Elephas maximus indicus: one gene and its partner. The protein of the gene in region 1 interacts with the protein of each later gene in a pairwise test. Links are inferred from orthologs where the notes say so. Each region holds a gene or a part of one and is shown in the gene's direction. Other genes may lie near its edges.

The links. The genes of interacting proteins can lie anywhere in the genome.
Region 2: the proteins of NCOA6 (region 1) and NR1H2 interact in a two-hybrid assay, tested with the Homo sapiens proteins (2 studies listed by BioGRID). The link is inferred for Elephas maximus indicus from reciprocal best matches to the Homo sapiens genes NCOA6 and NR1H2.

What each region holds. Positions count from the first base shown.
Region 1 is NC_064843.1:34,634,330-34,645,330, forward strand, and holds the start of NCOA6 (nuclear receptor coactivator 6), read left to right. Parts: upstream 1-5,993; 5' UTR 5,994-6,196; intron 6,197-11,001. UniProt on the Homo sapiens protein: Nuclear receptor coactivator that directly binds nuclear receptors and stimulates the transcriptional activities in a hormone-dependent fashion. Coactivates expression in an agonist- and AF2-dependent manner.
Region 2 is NC_064829.1:98,026,800-98,037,573, reverse strand, and holds the start of NR1H2 (oxysterols receptor LXR-beta), read left to right. Parts: upstream 1-6,185; 5' UTR 6,186-6,316; intron 6,317-6,450; 5' UTR 6,451-6,558; intron 6,559-7,675; 5' UTR 7,676-7,694; coding exon 7,695-7,737; intron 7,738-7,837; coding exon 7,838-7,969; intron 7,970-8,230; coding exon 8,231-8,572; intron 8,573-8,659; coding exon 8,660-8,919; intron 8,920-9,097; coding exon 9,098-9,277; intron 9,278-10,330; coding exon 10,331-10,457; intron 10,458-10,774. UniProt on the Homo sapiens protein: Nuclear receptor that exhibits a ligand-dependent transcriptional activation activity. Binds preferentially to double-stranded oligonucleotide direct repeats having the consensus half-site sequence 5'-AGGTCA-3' and 4-nt spacing (DR-4).

The sequences.
Region 1 (11,001 bases):
GTGGTATATCTATACAATGGAACATCATTCAGACATAAAAATGAATGAAGTACTGATACATGCTACAACATGGATGAACCTTGAACACATTTATGCTATATGAAAGAAGACACAAAAAGCCACATACTATATGATTCCATTTATATGAAATGCCCAGAATAGGCAAATCTATAAGACAAAGTAGATTAAAGATTGCCAGAAGAATGGAGGGAATGGGGAACTGAGATTCCTTACAGGTATGGGTTTTTTTTAATGTGGTGGTTGGAATGTTCTGGAATTAGATGGTGTGATGGCTAAGATTGTGTGTCAACTTGGCTGGGCCATGATTTTTAGTGTTTTGGCAGTTGTATACCGTTGTGGTCACTTCCCTGTTGAAATTTGATATGTGATCACCCTTATGATGGAATCTGCTGAGTGATAACGGTGGGGGCGGGGCCTGTGGCAGTTCACCGCCCCCTCAGCCTTCATCTTTCCACCCTCTGCCACCTACTTCCTTCACACTCTCCTTGCCAAGGCTTTTGGCTTGTTCTGGATCCTGCAGATGCCTCTTGTTCATCTGACCTTCGGTTCTTGGGACTTGAGCTAGCAGCTTAGTGCCAATCTTGGGATTTGGTGATCTTCACAGCCTGTGAACGAGGGTCCTGCTCTCTGACCTGCCAACCTTGGGTTCGCCAGCCCCTGTGGCTATGTGAATCAGGAGAAGCCTCTATCCTGATCCACAGCCTTCGGACATTCCAGCCTCTACATGACTTCTCTCTCTCTATATATATTTATATGCTTACTGGTTTTGCTTTTCTAGAGAACCCAGCTTAAGACAGATGGTGATGCTGGTTGTACAACATTGTGAATGTACTAAAACCCACTAAATTAAACACTTCAAAATTGTTAAAATGGTGAATTTTAGGTTATGTGATTTTATCTAAAAAAAATAGGTAAAGGATCTAAATAGACATTTTTCTAAAGAAGATATACAAATGGCCAATAGCACAAGAAAAGATGTTCAACATCATTAGTAATCAGGGAAATGCAAACCGAAACCATAAGGTGATACCATTTTATATCCAGTAGGATGGCTACAATCAAAAAGATAATAATAAGTGTTAGCAAGGATGTGGAGAACTAGAAACCCTCATACAATGCTGGAGGGAATGCAGAATGGTTCAGCCACTTTGGAAAATAATCTGGCAATTCCTCAAGTGATTCAACAGTTACCATGTGACCCAATAACACTTCTAGGTCTACTCAAGAGAAATGAAACTTGTGCACAACTGTTCATAACAGGATTATACAAAATGGCCAAAAGGTGGAAAAACCCAAAATGTCCACCAACTGAAATGAAAATGCAAAATGTGGTATACTTGTACCATGAAACATTATTTGACCATATATATAAAGAAATGCTACAACATGGATGAACCTTGAAAACATGCTAAATTATCCAATTATCATGATCCAAAAGACCACATATTGTATGATTCTATTTATATGAAATATCCAGAATAGGCAAATCTATACAGACAGAAAGTAGATTAGTGGTTGCTAGGGCTGGGGTAGTGGAAGAAGAGAGGTCTGACGGTTAAGGGTATGAGGTTTCTTTTTGAGGTGATGAAAATATGCTCTGAAATTGACTATGGTGGTGGTTGCTTATATCTGTGACTATACTAAAACCATTTGAATTGTGTACTTTAAATGGGTGAATTGTATACTTTAAATGTGTATTATATATATCAATAAAGCTGCTTTAAAAAATACACAGAATTTGGCATTATCAGCTAAAACCCTGGTGGGGTAGTGGTTAAAATGCTTGGCCGCTAACCAAAAGGTCGGCTGTTTGAACCCACCAGTTGTTTCATGGGAGAAAGTTGTGGCGGTCTGCTTTTGTAATGATTACAGTCTAGGAAAACCTATGGGGCAGGTCTACCCTGTCCTATAGGATCACTATGAGTTGGAATCCACTTAATGGCAATGGGTATGGCAGCTACAGCTGAATACAAGCCAATTCTATGACCCCAGTCCTAGGTATATAACCAATAGAACATTGTACATATGTTTACCCAAAGATATGTACAAGAATGTTCAAAAAAAAAAAAAAGAATGTTCATAATAGTACTATTAAAAATAGCCCTAAAGGAAAAACCTAAATGCCCACCAGTGGTAGAACGGATAAATTATAGGATATTCAAACAGTGAAATGCTATGCAGCAATGAAAATAACACACTACAACTACATGCAAAAATATAGATGAATCTCGAAAACATAAAATTGAGCAAAGGAGCCAAAAAGAGTGCATTCTGTATGAATCCATTTATATATATGTGTGTGTGTATATATATATATATATATACACACACACATATATATATATGTATATATATATACACACACACATATATAAAGTTTAAAACTTGGCAAACCTAATCTATGGATTCAGGATGCTGCTCTCAGGGTGGTAATGAGGGGAAGGGAAACTATGGGATTTCTGGGGGCCTGGTAATGGCTCAGTGGTTAAGAGTTCAGCTGCTAATGAAAGGGTCTGCAGTTCCAGTTCACCAGCCACTCCTTGGAAACCCTGTGGGATAGTTCTAATCTGTCCTGTACGGTTGCTATGAGTTGGAATTGATAGCAATGCGTTTGGTTTGGCTTTTGGTAATGTTCTGTTTCTTGATTTAGATGCTGGTTGCACAGGTTTGTTCAATTTGTGAAAATTCATCAGCTTTACACATGCTCATACGAACTAAGCCTTTATGCAAAGTACAAAGAGTGTACATTATTTCCCTTTGAAAATTATGAGCGTATTTTGTAATAACAAGGCACTTACTGCCATCTGCTGGTAAATTAACACAACAGATTTACAAACCTACAATGTCTATAATGGGAATAGCGCCCACTTAGATGTGGTTTCCTCTTGCAGGGCACAATTTCCCGAATTGCATATGGTAACCCTGTTTGGTTTTGTTGTGATGAGCCCTGCAGAGAGTAGAATGTTGGTGCGTTCTGGGTTGGTTTGTCCTTTTTTTTTTCCCCATGTTCGTTGTTACTTGTTCTTCTGAAAAACATCATTCACGTAGTCACTATCAATTTTATCACTTCAAAGCTTAATGTACATATGAAAATAGAAGTTCAATAAATGCTCATTTGAATAAATTGCTCATATCAAAGAACAATGGATTTGCTTTTTATTTACCCAAGTCTGATTCCGGAACAAGAAGCTGGGCATCTTAGGACTACTTTTTGCTCAAAACACTCTGTGAAACAGCCTAAAAATGTATTCAGAGGTTTGTGTTCATCTGCTGCATGTTGAGGCCATCATCTGTGCTAGACACCCTTCTAGACATTCTTATGTAACAATTCATTTAGTTCTCCTGAGGACCTTATGAGATAGGAGCCCTTATTATCTGCATCTTACAGATAACACAACTAAGGCACAAAAAAGGTAAGTGATATTACAAGTGATGGTTATTCAAAAAGAGCTTCCTTGGGGGAACTTACAGTCTATTTGGGACACAAAACAAAATAAATGAAACAAAGAAAATGCTTTGGACCCTGTCAAACAAAAAAAAAAACCAAACCTGTTGCCGTTGAGTCGATTCCAACTCATAGTGACCCTAAAGGGCAGAGTAGAACTGACCCTGTTAGGCAAGTCATTTATCTCCTTGTGCTCTCATTTTCTCATCTGTAAAACAAGGAGATTGGATTTGCTCAATATCACATAGCTAATAAATGGCAGAGCTAGAACCTGAACTTGGGCATTCTGGCTTCAGAGTCCAAGCTTGTAATCATTACGCACACTGTCTGCCAGTTCATGGTCTGTTCTTGTTCCTTTGTTGCCTTCCTGTGGGGCTGTGGACCCTGTTTATGCTGCTATTTTCACTTCCAGGATGTGTAGGCAACCAAGTTGGCACCTCTGTCCTCAACTCCTTGTTTCCTTGCTGATCCCGGGAAAACCAATGACCCTTGGCTTAAGGAAATGGATAAGAAAGTGAAAAGTAAGGACAGTGGCTCAGGTTGTGGAATTTTTCAGAGCTTTCTTACCTTCAAAAGCTTTTGTGGGGCTCAGAGGTCTGTGGATGATGTCATTTCAGCCTCTGGGCTGGCTGCTGGCAGGACCCCTGTCTAAATAGGATCAAGTGACCAGAGTTTCTCGTTCAGTCTTTCAGATTAACTAATCAGTCAAGCAACACATTAATTGTATCATTATCCAAATAGTCACTCTTTAGCTCTGTCAGATTTCCAGGCTAACACAAAACAGTACGTACTATACAGTTCTGTTTATGTGAAGTTCAAGAACTGTCAAAGTTAATTTACGGTGCTAGAAGTCAGAGTAGTGGTTACCTTTGGGGAATCAGGTATTGACTGGGAGGGGACGTTCTGGAAGTGACAGAAGGGAACCCTTTGGGCTGTTAGAGATGTTCTATAACTTGATCTGAGAGGTGTTAACACAGGAACATAGCTAAAAATTTATTAGGTATAAAGTTAAGATTTTTGCATTTTGCTGCATATAAATTATACCTCAATTTTTCAAAAGTTTCAAAAAAATAATGTCCAGCCTCTTGCAAAGTCCTTCGGTGTTAATTTTATAGCTGCACTGTTGTTCTCTTTGCTTTTCTCTGTCCTTTTGGACTCAGCACCTAGTATAGTGCACAGGATCCATACATACAGCAAATATTGATTGAGCGCCTACTCTGTGCCAGGCATTGTGTTACATGCTGAGGGAACAGCGGTGAACAAGGGAGTCCACATTCTAGTGGCAATAAACCACCTAGTCTGTTCTATCAAGGATAAGTGCATGCTGCTAAGGGGGCCTGTCTGGGGGGGATGGCCAGGGAAGGCGTTCTTGGGGTAGTGACATTTGAGTTTGGATCTGAAGGCTAAGGGGGGCAGAGCATTTCAGGCAGAGAATGAGCATGTGCAAGGGTGCTGAGGAGGGAGGGATTACAATGTGTAAAGAATTGGGAAGAAGACCATTGTGGTTGCAGCCCAGAGATGGAAGAGGGCCTGAGATGCACCTGGAGAGGTGGGGAAGACAACAGTAAGACATTGATTTGGTCTTTATCTCAAGAGCAACATGAAGCTGTCAAATAGTTTCAAATAGGGGACTAACATAATCAGATTTCTGACTTAGAAATGTTACTCTGACAGCAGAGTGGAGAATAGATTGGAGAGGGTGCAGGGAGCATGTGAAAAGGCTGTAAGTGGGTACTACACTAGTCCGAGCACATAGTGTGTGCTCAATAAATACCTGTGAATGAAAGGGCTCCCGACTTCTTTTCTAAGATGAGACCAGGACACCTATAAGCAGTTTACAATCCATCTGCTCATCTTCTATCTTCTGTGATGCTCATAAGAGACTCTTTACTTCCATTTTACAGATGAAGAAACTGAGGTTCAGAGAGGCAAAAAAAATCACACAGCTATCAAGAGGGAAAGGCAGATCTGAATTCAGAGCTGTATGACATCAAGTCCAGTGCTGGGGGGTCCTCCCCACATTTGAGAGGGGAGGGGGCCACACGCACTTGTTCACTAAAGGGATATATTTATTGAGCACCTACAGAGCTTGCTAGTGTGGTGGTTATGAGAAAAAGTAGAGAGGAGCTTACAGACAAATAATGATAAAGGCTGTTATCTTCGTTACGCTCCAGGCCCTGTGCCAAGTGCTTTCCATGCTTTTCCCATTTCCTCTTGTCAATCGCAACTACTATCCCCGTACTTCAGATGAGGAAACTGAGGCATGGAGAGGTGAGTTACCCAAGGACACCCAGCCAGAGCGCTCCCGCTGTGTTGTGCAGTGGTTAGAAGTCGGGGCAGGAGCCACTGGTGAGATCACGGAGCAGAGAAACTGACACAAATCCATGCCATCCCAGCACTAAATGCTCTGCACCCACGTGAGCGGGCGCGCGCCCCTCGCGCTCCCGGGGACGTTTGGTCACGTGGACAGGGCCCCGCCCCTCTGGTCCGCCCCGCCCCCTCCCGCGCTCCCTCCCTCCCTCCCCCTCCCTCACCGGCCCGGTCCGGCCCATCCCCCTCCCCGCCGGCTCCCTGAGGCCCTGGCGGGTCGGGCTGCGGGCGGCCGGGAGCAGACGGCCGGACAGACGGGCGCACGCGAGGACGGACGGACGGACGCACGGAGGGCTGCGGGCACGCACGGCCCGGGCCGGCTCTCCGAGGCCCGCCCGGGAGGGCCGGAGCGGCGCTCAGGTGAGGCGACGGCGACGCGGGCCCGTAAGGGGTGGGCCCGCCGGGCGTCCGCGATCTCGGCCCGGCTGGCTCCGCGGGAAGGAAGTGCCGCTCGGGCCCGGCGCGGGAAAATGGCGCCGGCCGACCGTGGAGCGCGGCCCGAGTACGGGCCGGGCCCGGAGCCGCCCCGCCCGCCGGGCTGGTGTCCCCGTCGCCATGTTGGGGAGCGGGCCCCAGGCCTGCGGGCGGGGGCGCCGACGGGAGCGGGGGCTTGGCCGGGGGTGGGGGGGTTGTGGGTCGCCGGGTCTGGAGCCCCGAGGGAGTGCAGGGCCGGGCCGGGGTCTGCACGGCGTGGCGCTCGGGGCCCAGGGAACTGGCGGGAGCCGGACGTGGGGTCGTGGCCGGGGTCGCGAAGAAGGGACACTGGGTCCGAATGGAACCGTGGCCGGAGTCTACTGAGTTAGGTGGGGGCAGGACCTGAAGCCGAGTTGGGCCATGGGCGGTGTTCAGGACCCCAGTACAGGTTCGACCCGGGGGACGTGGGGGCCTAGCTCAAGCTGTCAAGGCTAGGACAGTTCTCCAGGTGGGTTTGATTAGAAACGGGGGACCTTCGGGTTCAGACGGAGGTATTGGATTGGGCAGCCCTCGGAGTCCTGGCGCTGAATTGCAAGTTTTTATAACCCCCAAGGGACTGAAGACTTATGTACCCCAGGGTTCTTCACCCTTCATTGGCGAGAGCACCAGAAAAAGGGAAGGGTTTGATGAGGAAGAGAGAAGAAGGGGCTGAGGTTTGAGTGAAGGAGCTGGCCAGCAAAAGGGGTGCCGAGTGGAGCTGTTGGCAAGGAGAGAGCAAGCCTCCATCAATTTAGGGAGTTTGTCTGTGTCTTTAAAAGGAGGAACCAGGCTGTTTGGGGGCGGTGACCCAAGGTGTCTTCCCAGGAAAGGGACAGCCCACTGCTTAAAAGCAGGGTCACCTAGGGAGGTCGTCGGAAACGCATTTATCGAAGCCAGTAAGCTTGGTAAAAAGGAGTGAATCCTGTAATGGTTTCAGATTATGTAGTGATTTTAGGTGAGACATAGAAAGGTAAAGTTGATTTCCCAAGATCTTAGAAGCAGTGGCAGAGGGGATTCCAGAACTCAGGTTTGCTGCCTTCTCATTCATCACGCTGCCTTAAAAGCATGTGGTAGCTGGGAGAAAAATGTTAAGTAAAGAATGGCAGTATGTATCAGAAAACTATTAATGAATTGGTTTTATAATGCGTTGTCAGTGCAGAGGGTGGGGGGGGAATACCAAAAAGTATAGGTAACCAGCTATTTGTTATTAGCTCACTTCCATTTATGCAAAAAAGTTATCTTCAAGACCCTTTTGACCTCTAACTTCTTATAATTTTTAGAAATGATCCTTCTCTTTTAGTGGTTGGAGCTGACTCGACAGCAGTGGGTTTGGTTTTATACCGTAAATGGACACAAAAAGCCTAAAAAGATAACAGTAAACAATGGTAGAGACCCAGAATCTCTGTCATGATCAAATGTTAGTCGAAGTTTGATCATAATAGAAAGGAGTTCAAAGTTCAGATGGGCTGTGGTAGAGTTCTCAGGGAAACTATGCAAATTGGTCATGATGTGGTAGGCCCAGAGCCCCCATAAAATTAAAAAGATTAAGAGAGCATTTATAACAGTAAAATTTTCATTATTGTATGTATATACAGCAACGCAGTTCATTTATTCTGGGTCTTTTTAATACAGGGGTGTCATGGGCCCCTTAGCATCTGATGAAGCCTATGGACTCCTCTCAGAATAATATTTTTAATTGTATAAAATAAAATAATATAGGATTACAGAGGAAACCAATTATATTGAAATAGTTATTAAAATATTACAAACTGTGATATAGTAATGTATATACTTTAGCAGCACGTTAAAAAGATCTAGTCAAAGAACTAAATGATGTCCGGCTGTTTAACTCATGACTGCCCTGACAGGGAACATAACAGAGAACCCCTGAGGGAACGGGAGAGCGGTGGGATGCGGACCCCGAATTCTCATAAAAAGACCAGACTTAGTGGTCTGACTGAGACTAGAAGGACCCTGGTGGTCATGGCCCCCAGACCTTCTGTTGGCCCAGGACAGGAACCATTCCCGAAGCCAACTCTTCAGACATGGATTGGACTGGACAACGGGTTGGAGAGGGATGCTGGTGAGGAGTGAGCTTCTTGGATCAGGACACTTGAGACTCTGTTGGCGTCTCCTGCTTGGAGGGGAGATGAGAGGGTAGAGGGGGATAGAAGCTGGTGAAATAGACACGAAAAGAGAGAGTGGAGGGAGAGAGCGGGTTGTCTCATTAGGGGGAGCGTAATTGGGAGTATGTAGCAAGGTGTACATAAGTTTTTATGTGAGAGACTGACTTGGTTTGTAAACTTTCACTTAAAGCACAATAAAAATTACAAAAAAAAATTAAACACAAAAAGATCTAGTGAAGGGTCTGATTATTTTAATTTCAAAGAAATGAGTATAAGTAATATTTTTAGATATCTATAACTACTGAAATATATAAAGGTATCTGTGATGTTTGTATTGACAGAGTCATAGGTGCTGCTAATAGTACAATGATTTTTTGTCTACACTTATGTTTGAAGAAAATGGTAACTTCAGTTGGAGTTCAGTGAAAATAACACAAGTTCACGGACTCCCTGAATTCTCTCTATGAGCTCTTGTCTCTAAACCTCACGTTAAGAAGCCTACTATGATTCCCACTACCAGGCATATCTTCCATTCAACAGTTATTTATTGTGTGCCAAGACATCTGGTGTGTCAAGCACAGTGCTCAGTGTGCTAGACTCTGAGGATTCAGAGGTCTTTACCAAAAACTCCAAATCTGTTGCCGTCCAGTCAAGTCCAACTCATAGTGACCGTGTAGGACTGAGTAGAACTGCCCCATAGGGTTTCCAAGACCGTAATCTTTACGGAAGCAGGTTGCCACATCTCTCTCCCACAGAGCCACTGCGTCATCAGGGCAGGGTCTTTGGGTGTTTGGTCCAGTGAGAAGTAGACATGTAAACAATGATAGTTTAGGATGACAAATGCCAAAGGAGAGTTATCAAAGTTTGTAAGGACACAGTGGTGGGAGTGTCTGCACCACAAATCAGGGAAGATTTTTGTGAAGATATGTCTTGAAAGATAGAGGAGTTTGGAAGATGGAGAGTTGGAGGGAAGAGCTTTTCAGGTAAACGCATGCATTTTCAGGGAATGTAATTGAATGTGGCAAGAGCATAGGGTGTGTGTGTATGTGTGAAAGAGTGGTTGGAGGTGAGACTGGAGGGTTGACTGGAACTTGGTTGTAAAGGACCTTGTTAGGGAGTTTGGACTGAATCCTCTGCTGAGGTAGTTGGTTGCCATAGAGTCAGCTCTGACTCATGGCCACCTTATGCATAACAAAACAAAATATTTCTCAGTCCTGCGCCATCTTCATGATAAGTGGTATGTTTGAGTCCCTTGTTGCAGCTTATGTGCCCGTCCATCTTATTGAGGGTTTCTCTTGCATTCGTTGATCCTCTACTTTGCCATACACAATCAGCTGTAGTATGGTGAGATTTAATTTTTAGAAGATAAATGGATTCTCTTTGGAAGGAGGGTGGACTGGAGAGCAGAGAAGTAATGATGAGCTGAACTAAGGCAGAGGCTGTGGGCATTACACAGAGTTGGAGTTTTTAGGTGTTGATAGTTAATATCATTAGTGGTGAGAGAGAAGGAATTTTTTAAATTTTTAGTTTGGGATAAGGAGCCCTGGTGGCGCAGTGGTTAAGTGCTTGGCTGCTAACCAGAAGGTTGGCAGTTTGAACCCCCTAGCTACTCTGAGGGAGAAAGATGTGGCAGTCTGCTTCTGTAAAGATTACACCCTTGGAAACCCTCTGGGGCAGTTCTACTCTGTCCTATAGGGTTGCTATGAGTCAGAGTCAACTCAAGGGTAACAGGTTTGGTTTTTGTTGTGTTTTTTTTTAGTTTGAGATGGTGGCTGTCAAAGAGGTTTAGAAAAAAGGTAGATGGAAAATGAGGTGAGAATTGTCAAAGAAGAGTGTTTTTGGTAGAGTAATAAAAAAGAGTAATAGGCTTTTGGAAATCATTGCAAAGCTGCCAGTGAGATGTAGTTTTTGTTTTTCTTTTTAAATTGTGTTTTAGGTGAAATTTTACAGGGCATATTAGTTTCTCATTCAACAATTTATTCACAAATTGTTTTGTGACATTGGTTGCAATCCCTGCAATATGTCAGCACTCTTCCCCTTTCCACCCCAGTTTCCCCATTTCTGTTCATCTAGTTTTCCTGTCCCTTCCTGCCTTCTCCCCTTTGCTTTTGGGCAGGTGTTTCCCATTTGATCTTGTATATGTGATTGAACTAAGAAGCACGTTCTTTACTTGTGTTATTGTTTGTTTTATAGGCCTGTCTGATCTTTGGCTGAAAGGTGAACTTCGGGAGTGGATTCAGTTGTGAGTTAGAAGGGTGTCCAGGGGCCATAGTCTTGAGGGTTCCTCCAGTCTCTGTCAGACCAGTAGGTCTTTTTTGTGAATTTGATTTTTCTGCTACATTTTTCTTCCGCTCTGTCAGGGACCCTTTATTGTGATCCTTGTCAAAGTGGTCAGCGGTGGTAGCTGGGCACCATTTGGTTCTTCTGGGCTCAGGCTGGTGTGATGTAATTTTTGCTTAAGTAAGTCAGAGGTGTTGGCAGACGTAAAAGGCAGAGAAAGATGAAGGAAATATTCCTAAATTGTAGGAAAATTCACCGTTACCTATGTCATGGGTCAACAAACTATGGTTCACAGGTCAAACCTGG
Region 2 (10,774 bases), on another chromosome or scaffold:
GCTTTACTGCTAACATGCTTGGGTGGAAAATTCCACGGCCTCAAAGGCCAGGAATGGGTAGTGCATTTGCTGAGCATAAAAGGATCTTTGTATTGTACTGTTTAGTGGACAGCACAAGTTACAAAAACGTACGCATCATATATTCTCGTATATGTATATATATTATCTGATTACTACCTATATGGTGAAAGGATACAACCCTATCCCACACCTTTCCTGACTTTAAACCATGTAGTATCCCCTTGTTCTTTTCAAACGGCTGACTCTTGATCCAAGTACAGATCCCTCACAACGACAATTAAGTGTTCCAGAATTCCCGTTCTCTGCAGTGTTTTTGATAATTTGTTATGAGCTACACAGCCAAATGCCTTTTGCATTGTCAATAAAACACAGGTAAACATCTCTCCCCCACGTGTCTGTCAGTTTGTCGTACTGTGGGGGCTTGTGTGTTGCTGTGATGCTGGAAGCTATGCAACCGGTATTCAGATACCAGCAGGGTCACCCATGGAGGACAGGTTTCAGCTGAGCTTCCAGACTAAGACAGACTAGGAAGAAGGACCCGGCAGTCTACTTCTGAAAAGTATGAGCCAGTGAAAACCTTACGAATAGCAGTGGAACATTGTCTAATATAGTCCTGGAAGATGAGCCCGCCAGGTTGGAAGGCACTCAAAAGATGACTGGGGAAGAGCTGCCTCCTCAAAGTAGAGTCAACCTTAATGAGTGGATAGAGTAAAGCTTCCGGGACCTTCATATGCTGATGTGGCGCAATTCAAAATGAGAAGAAAGAGCTGCAAACTTCCATTAATAATCAGAACCTGGAATGCATGAAATATGAATCTAGGAAAATTGGAAATCACCAAAAATGAAATGGAACGCATAAACATCGATATCCTAGGCATTAGTGAGCTGAAATGGACTGGTATTGGCCATTTTGAGTCAGACAATCATATAGTCTACTATGCTGCGAATGACAACTTGAAGAGGAATGATGTTGCATTCATCGTCAAAAAGAACATTTCAAGATCTATCCTGAAGTACAACGCTGTCAGTGATAGGATAATATCCATACGCCTACAAGGAAGACCAGTTAATACGACTATTCAAATTTACACACCAACCACTAGGGCCAAAGACGAAGAAATAGAAGATTTTTATCAGCTGCTACAGTCTGAAATTGATCGAACATGCAATCAAGATGCATTGATAATTACTGGTGATTGGAATGCAAAAGTTGGAAACAAAGAAGAAGGATCAGTATTTGGACAATATGGCCTTGGTAATAGAAACAATGCTGGAGATGGAATGATAGAATTTTGCAAGACCAACGACTTCTTCATTGCAAATACCTTCTTTCACCAGCATAAACAGTGACTATTTTTATACGCATGGACCTCACCAGATGGAACACACAGAAATCAAATTGACTACATCTATGGAGAGAGACGATGGAAAAGCTCAATATCATCAGTCAGAACAAGGCCAGGGGCTGACTGTGGAAGAGACCATCAATTGCTCATATGCAAGTTCAAGCTGAAACTGATGAAAATCAGACCAAGTCCATGAGAGCCAAAATATGACCTTGAGTATATCCCACCTGAATTTAGAGACCATCTGAAGAGTAGATTTGACGCATTGAACACTAGTGACCAGAGACCAGACGAGTTGTGGAATGACATCAAGGACATCATCTATGAAGAAAGCAAGAGGTCACTGAAAAGACAGGAAAGAAAGAAAAGACCAAGATGGATGTCAGAGGAGACTCTGAAACTTCCTCTTGAGCGTCGAGCAGCTAAAGCAAAAGGAAGAATTGATGAAGTAAAAGAACTGAACAGAAGATTACAAATGGCCTCTTGAGAAGACAAAATAAAGTATTATAATGACATGTGCAAAGAGCTGGAGATGGAAAACCAAAAGGGAAGAACACGCTCAGTGTTTCTCAAGCTGAAAGAACTGAAGAAAAAATTCAAGCCTTGAGTTGCAATAGTGAAGGATTCCATGGGGAAAATATTAAATGATGCAGGAAGCATCAAAAGAAGATGGAAGGAATACACAGAGTCATTATACCAAAAAGAACCAGTCGATATTCAAACATTTCAAGAGGTGGCATATGATCAGGAACCGATGGTACTGAAGGAAGAAGTCCAAGCTGCTCTGAAGGCATTGGCGAAAAACAAGGTTCTGGGAATTGACAGAATACCAGTTGAGGTGTTTCAACAAACAGATGCAGCGCTAGAGGTGCTCACTCATCTATGCCAAGAAGTATGGAAGACAGCTTCCTGGCCAACTGACTGGAAGAGATCTATATTTATGCCTATTCCCAAGAAAGGTGATCCAACCGAATGTGGAAATTATAGAACAATATTGTTAATATCACACGCAAGCAAAATTTTGCTGAAGATCATTCAAAAACGGCTGCAGCAGTATATCGACAGGGAACTGCCAGAAATTCAGGCTGGTTTCAGAACAGGATGTGAAACCAGGGATATCATTGCTGATGTCAGATGGATCCTGGCGGAGAGCAGAGAATACCAGAAGGAAGTTTACCTGTGTTTTATTGACTATGCAAAGGCATTTGACTGTGGATCATAACAAACTATGGATAACACTGCGAAGAATGGGAATTCCAGAACTATTAATTGTGCTCATGAGGAACCTTTACAAGGATCAAGAGGCAGTTGTTCGGACAGAACAAGGGGATACTGATTGGTTTAAAGTCAGGAAAGGTGTGCGTCAGGGTTGTATTCTTCCACCATACCTATTTAATCTGTATGCTGAACAAATAATACGAGAAGCTGGACAATATGAAGAAGAACGGGGCATCAGGATTGGAGGAAGACTCATTAACAACCTGCGTTATGCAGATGATACAACCTTGCTTGCCAAAAGTGAAGAGGACTCGAAGCACTTAGTAATGAAGATCAAAGACCACAGCCTTCAGTATGGATTACACCTCAACATAAAGAAAACAAAAATCCTCACAACTGGACCAATGAGCAACATCATGATAAACGGAGAAAAGATTGAAGTTGTCAAGGATTTCATTTTACTTGGATCCGCAATCAACAGTCACCGAAGCAGCAGTCAAGAAATCAAAAGACGCATTGCATTCGGCAAATCTGCTGCAAAGGACCTCTTCAAAGTGTTGAAGAGCAAAGATGTCACCCCGAGGACTAAGGTGCGCCTGACCCAAGCCATGGTATTTTCAATCGCATCATATGCGTGTGAAAGCTGGACAATGAATAAGGAAGACCAAAGAAGAGCTGACGCCTTTGAACTGTGGTGTTGGCGAAGAATATTGAATATACCATGGACTGCCAAAAGAACGAACAAATCTGTCCTGGAAGAAGTGTGGCCAGAATGCTCCTTAGAGGCACGGATGGCGAGACTGCATCTTACATACTTTGGACATGTTGCCAGGAGGGATGAGTCCCTGGAGAAGGACATCATGCTTGGCAGAGTAGAGGGCCAGCAGAAAAGAGGAAGACCCTCACAAGGTGGATTGACACAGTGGCTGCAACAATGAGCTCAAGCATGACAACGATTGTAAGGATGGCGCAGGACCGGGCAGTGTTTCTTTCTGTTGTGCATAGGGTCTCTATGAGTCGGAACCGACTCAACGGCACCTAGCAACAACAAGAAAACATCCCTCTGGTGTTGTCTGCTTTCAGCCAGGATCCATCTGACATCAGCAATGATATCCCTGGTTCCACGTCTTCTTCCAAGTCTGGCTTGAATTTCTGGCCCTTCCCTGTTGATACACTGCTGCACCTGCTTTTGAATCAGCAAAATTTTGCTGGCATGTGATATTAATGATACTGTTTGATAATTTCCACATTTGGCTGGATCACCTTTCTTGGGAATAGGCATAAATATGGATCTTTTCCAGTCCAGCTGGCCAGGTAGCTGTCTTCCAAATTTCTTGGCATGGATGAGTGAGTACTTACAGTGCTGCATCCATTTGTTGAAACATCTCAACTGGTATTCTGTCAATTCCCAGAGCCTTGTTTTTCGCCAATGCCTTCAGAGCAGCTTGGACTTCTTCCTTCAGTAGCATTGGTTCCTGATCATATGTTACCTTTTAACGTGGGTGAATGTCAACCAAGTTTTTTTTTGGTATAGTGACTCTGTGTATTCCTTCCATCTTCTTTTGATGATTTCTGCTGTTTAATATTTTCCCCGTAGAATCCTTTAGTATTGCAACTCAAGGCTTGAAGTTTTCTTCAGTTCTTTCAGTCTGAGAAATGCTGAGTATGTTGTTCCCTTTTGGTTTTCTATCTCCAGGTTTTCGTACACATCCTCACAATACTTTGTCTTCTCGGACTGCCCTTCCAAATATTCTGTTCAGCTCTTTTACTTCATCATTTTTTCCTTTTGCTTTAGCTACTCGATGTTCAAAAGTAAGTTTCTGAGTCTCTTCTGACATCCATTTAGGTCTTTTCTTTCTCTCCTGTCTTTTTTAATGACCTCTTGCTTTCTCCATGTATGATGTCATTCCACAATTTGCCTGTCTTGGAAGTACAACCAAAATGTTCCTTAGAAGAAAGGTTGGCCGGACTACGTCTCACGTACTTTGGACATATTATCAGGAGGTATCAGTCCCTGGAAAAGGCATCGTGCTTGGTAAAATAGAGGGTCAGCAAAAAAGAGGAAGACCCTCAACGAGATGGACTGACATAGTGGTTGCAACAATGTGTTCAAGCATAGCAATGACTGTGAGGCTTGTACAGGGTTGGGAATTGTTTTGTTCTATTATGCATAGGGTTGCTGTGAGTCGGAATTGACTGGAAGGCACCTAACGACAACATTATATAGAAAGAGCTCATTCGGGGGGGGGGAAGGGTAGCAGCATATTTAAAAGAACAGCTGAGCTAAGACTTAGCACAGAAGTGGGTCTCAGACCTTTTGCTTCTAAATTGGTCCTGGCTTTTATCTGGTGACATATGTCCAGTGTTTTTAGTTCCTTGACATGAGTTTCTTGGTTCCTCAAACCAAAAGACCAAACCCAGTGCCGTCGAGTCAATTCTAACTCATAGCGACCCTATAGGACAGAGTAGAGCTGCCCTAAAGAGTTTCCAAGGAGCGCCTGGCGGATTTGAACTGTCCACCCTTTGGTTAGCAGCCGTAGCACTTAACGACTAAGCGCCAGGGTTTCCTTGGTTCCTAGGCAGGACTAATTATGACATGGGGCAATCAAATCGTTTCTGTGTCTATGCAGGATTCTAGTTTTAGTTGGTTTGCCTAAAAAACAATCCTAAGAGGAAGCATTAAGGGAAATCTGGTTGCTTATTGTTCAAAATTTAGCCTCAGGTTAAGATACTGGTTCTCTTGTGTCCGGCCTACGCCATATGTTGTTTGCTTTCGAATTTTTACAGCTTCTGCTCGCAAGAGGGTTAATTTTACCTCAGGACCCCAGACCTGTCTCAGAACATTATCGGATATAGTGCAGGATGATAAGCCCCTCATGGTGGAAGGCACTCAAAAGGCGACTGGGGAAGAGCTGCCTCCTCAAATAGAGTTGACCTTAGTGATGTGGATGGGGTAAAGCTTTCGGAACCTCATTTGCTGTCGTGGCACTACTCAAAATGAGAAGAAACAGCTGTAACATCCACTAACAATCGGATTATGGAATGCTCGAAGTATGAATCTAGGACAGACAGAATGCTGATTAGTAAAGAGGATGATGAGACTTGTGTCATGTACTTCAGACATGTTATTAGGAGAGACCAGTCCGTGGAGAAGGACATCATGCTTGGAAAAGTAGAGGCTCAGTGAAAAACAGGAAGACCACCACAAGACGGATTAACACATTGGCTGCAATGATGGGCTTAAGCATAGAAACGCTTGTGAGGATGGCACAGGACCGGACGTTGTTTAGTTCTGTTATGCGTACAGTCTCTATGAGTCGGATTAAACTCCAGGGCACCTAACAATAACGAATCTTTGGCTGCGGGCCCAGAGAGGCCACAGAAGCGCTAAGGCCACACAGCTCGGGACGGGAAGGTTGGGGACTGGCAACGCCCCCTCAAGGACATTTGATTGCTTTGGCGCGGAACTCCTCAGCCACACCCTAGTGGAGCAACCCGGAGGGGGCAAACTTCCGGTGGGTGTGCCACTTTCGTGCGGGGCAGCCGATTCAGCTGTTGTAACGCGCACCGGAATTCCGTCATCTGTCACTCCCCGCCCTTTTCCGGAGGTGACGCACGACGGGGTTGCCGGAAGAAGTGGCGAAGTTACTTTTGAGGGGACCGGAGCAGTGGCGGCGTTCAAGGGGATACAGAGAAGGAGGAAGCGGAGCAGAGAAAGCGGACAGAGTCAGGTGCACCCGAGGGGGGCGTGGGAGGAGTCCGGGGCTATGGCATCTCAGCCCTTCCCGCGCCGCTCCATTCAGCCCCCTTCTTTCGTTCTTCCCCCGCCCCTTCATAACTCGTACCGCCCCCCGGCTGTTTCCAGGGTAACGGAACCAGGAGACCCCGCGAGAGGCCGCCCCGAAGACCCCCACGCGCAGCCATGAGCCCCGCCCCCCGCTGGTGTTTGGAGAGGGGCGGGACCTGGAGCGAGGTGTGGGGGCGGAGCATGATGGGGCGAGGGGGAAAAGCCTGACGGGAGGGGAGGGGGCGGGGCTTGTAGAGAGGGGGTACGGATGGGGCGGGGCTTGGAGCACGATGTTGGGGGCGGCCGTGAGCGGTGGAGATGAGAACCGAACTTGGAAAGAAGGGGGTGAGGATCTGAAAGGAAAAGATGCGGACAGAACTAAAGTTTGCTCAGAAGAAGTGACGTGGAGTCTGAGTACCCAAGCCAGTAGTCGTGTGGTGGATTCTGCCTTATAGTGACCCTGTAGGACAGAGTAGAACTTCCCCATGGGATATCTGGTAGGGGCTGGTGGAGTCAAACTGCTGAACTTTGGGTTAGCAGCTGTAGCTCTTAACCTCTGCACCACCAGGGTTCCTGAATAAGTAAAACCAAAAAGACCCCACCTGTTGCCTAAGAGTCTATTGTGAACCACAGCGACTGTGTAGGCCAAGAGTAGAATGGCCCCATAGAGTTTCCAAGGAGTGCCTGGTGGATTCGAACTGCCGACCTTTTGGTTAGCAGCTGTAGGTCTTAACCATCAGGCCACCCGCATAAGAACAGGTGGGGTGGAATTTGATGGGAGGGAGGAGTGAATGCTTAGCAGGATTGAAGGAGGAGGGTGGGACCTGGAAGTAGCAGGTAGGAGGGAAAAACCTTAGTAGGGTGTGCCTTGGAGCAGAAGGGGCCAGACCTGGGGACATGGGGAGGGGAGGAGCCTGGAGCAGAAAAAGGGCAGAGCCTTTTAGAATAGGATGGGAGGGTTTGAAGGTAGGAGCTCCTGGTGGCGTCTTTATGGAGTTGGGGAGGAGTCTGGGAGAGATGGAAGGAGGAGAGGGGACCTCATTAGCACATGTAACTAGCTCAGAGGAGACCCATCCTGACTCCTCAAGTCTCTTAAAATGTGTTGCCATCGAGTCGATTGTGACTCATAGTGGCCCTGTAGGAGAGTAGACCTTACCCATAGAGTTCCAAAGCAGACTGCCACATCTTTCTCCCGCAGAGCAGCTGGTGGGTTCAAACGAGCAACCTTTCAGTTAGTAGCTAAGTACATAACTACTGCGCCACCAGGACTCCTTTTGAGGCTCATAATCCCCCTGTATTGCAGGCTGCTCCGTGACCCCACCATGTCCACCCCCACCACCAGTTCCCTGGACAGCCCCCTGCCTGGTGAGTGTCCCGCACCCACACCCAGCCCACCCCCCCGCAACACACACACATCGGTCAGGAAGGAGGCACTCACTGTGCCTCCCTGTTGCCTCTCTCCCAGGAAATGGCCCCCCTCAGCCTGGAGCCCCCTCTTCTTCACCTGCTATAAAGGAGGAGGGCCCTGAGCCTTGGCCTGGGGGTCCAGACCCCGATGTCCCAGGCACAGATGGGGCAGGCTCTGCCTGCAGCGTGGGTGAGATGGGGCCCCAGGATGGGATGTGGAAGTAGGTGTTGGGGCTCAAGGTGGGATCTGGGAAGGTAGAAAGATTAGAACCAGGATGGGGAGATGGCAAGCCCCTGCCTCTTGTTGATTTTTTGCCTCTCTCGTTCCCCCTTGTCATCTCTTGCTTTGATTCATTCTTTGGGGTGCACTGACACATCTTTCTCTCTGGTCTCCATCTCCTTGGGTGTTCACATCTCCCTGCTCGGGCTTCCACCCTGGGACCTCTCTTAGGCCTGTCTCCCTGTGGCTCCTTCTCTCATGATCTTCATCTGACCACCCTAGTCATCCCAGACCCAATGGAGGAGCCAGAGCGCAAGCGGAAGAAGGGCCCAGCTCCCAAGATGCTGGGCCATGAGCTGTGCCGCGTGTGCGGGGACAAGGCCTCTGGCTTCCACTACAACGTACTCAGCTGCGAGGGCTGCAAGGGCTTCTTCCGGCGCAGTGTGGTCCGTGGTGGGGCTGGGCGCTATGCCTGCCGGGGCGGTGGAACGTGTCAGATGGACGCCTTTATGCGGCGCAAGTGCCAGCAGTGCCGACTACGGAAGTGCAAAGAGGCGGGGATGAGGGAGCAGTGTAAGTGTGGGCGGTGGGATGCGGGGCTGTGCCAGCCCGGCGCCCACTCTCCTTAGAGCCTCTGCTGAGGTCCGTGTGCCCACACAGGTGTCCTCTCCGAAGAACAGATTCGGAAGAAGAAGATACAGAAGCAACAGCAGCAGCAGTCACCCGTGGGGTCAGGAGGTGGCAGCAGCTTATCCTCTGGGCCTGGGGCCTCCCCTGGGGAGCCTGAAGGGGGCAGCCAGGGCTCTGGGGAAGGAGAGGGCGTCCAACTAACGGCGGCTCAGGAACTTATGATCCAGCAGTTGGTGGCGGCCCAGCTGCAGTGCAACAAGCGCTCCTTCTCAGACCAGCCCAAAGTCACGGTATGGGCCCTCGTGCAGCCTCGAGGAGGGCCAGGCACACCAGGGTCGAGCCGGCAGGGCTGTGGCCTAAAGCAAGGGAGGGCAGGAGCTCTAGAGGATGAGGCTTGGCCTCCAGGTGCCCCCGTGGCCCTGGTTCCAGGGAAGAGTCTTGTGTGACTCTGGCCACCTGTGTCCTCAGCCCTGGCCTCTGGGTGCAGACCCTCAGTCCCGTGATGCCCGTCAGCAGCGCTTCGCCCACTTCACAGAGCTGGCCATCATCTCCGTGCAGGAGATTGTGGACTTCGCCAAGCAGGTACCCGGCTTCCTACAGCTGGGCCGAGAAGACCAGATCGCTCTCCTCAAGGCATCCACCATCGAGGTAATGGCTGGCCCGCCCATCCCCAGGCAGGCGCTGCCCTCCTGCCTCCGAGGGACCCTGGAGAGGAGCCCTAGGGTAGATGCTGGGTAGCGGCAAGCAGGACTTACCAGTCCCTGCTCTCTTGGAGGAGACATTCCATGGAGGAAGATGTTGTTCTTGTTCTTAGCTGCCATTGAGTCGGTTCTGACTCGTGACTCCACGTGTGCAGAGTAGAACTGCTTCATAGGGTTTTCAAGGCTGTGACCTTTTGGAAGCAGATTGTGAGGCCTGTCTTCGAGGCGCCTCTGGGTGGGTTCAAATCACCAACCTTTTAGTTAGTAGTCGAGTGCTTAACTGTTAATGCCACCCAAGGACTCGTTACAGAGGAAGGTAGTGGATGTCAGATGCATTCACAGGACCATCAGAGTTTTGCTGATCCCAGGACAGAAAGGAACAAGGGGTTGAGTTTGAGGACTGGGCTAGAGGGGCCTGCTTTAGGAAGAGTGTGCCAAGAAGGCTTTCTCCAGGATAACAAATAAGTATTGATTGTCTGCTGTATAGGAGCCTTGGTGGCACAACAGTTAAGTGCTTGGCTGCTAACCAAAAGGTTGGCTTTGGAACTCACCCAGTGGCTCTTCAAGAGAAAGACCTGGCGATCTGCTTCCGTAAAAGATTACAGCCTAGAAAACCCTATGGGGCGGTTTTACTGTGTCACATGGGGTTGTTACAAGTCGGAATCAACTCCAGGGCACCTAAGAACAACAATAGCCTACTGTGTGCCAGGCTCTGTCCTAGGTGTTGGGGATAGAGCAATGAACCAGACAGACAAAGATAGACGAACACTTCTGCTGCCTTCCTGGTACAGATCTGGGAAAAGCATGAGCTACGTGGAGGATGCAGTGCGTGCTGAAGCCTGGGGGAGGGAAGGAGCCTGGAGAGCTCCACGTGTGGACCAGCGGTGATGTAGCTGAGAGCAGGGGTCAGGGTTGAGCAGTGATCCTGATGAGACCAGCCCCTGACTTGGGCCGAAAGGGGAGGCCTAAAGGGTTACACAGGGCCCCCTCGTGCCCCCAGCCTCCCCCTGGTCCCCACCACCCTCAGATCATGCTGCTGGAGACGGCCAGGCGCTACAACCATGAGACGGAGTGCATCACCTTTCTGAAGGACTTCACCTACAGCAAGGACGACTTCCACCGTGCGGGTAGGCCAAGCGCAGCATCATAGTTACCTAGAGCTGCTGTGACAGAAAAACACCACGGCAGGGTGGGGAGGTGTGGGGGTAGCAAGGCCTTTCAGGAAGACATTTATTGTCTCAGAGATGGGAGGTCCTGGTGGCACAAAGGTTAACTGCTCAGCTGCTACCATAAAGCTTAGTGGTTCAAGCTCACCCAGGGTCTCTCCGGGGAAAAGACCTGGTAACCTGCTCCTGTAAAGATTAACCCAAAACCAAACCAAACCAGATGCTATCAAGTCGATTCTGACTCATGGTGACTCTAGGACAGAGTCGAAGTGCCCCAT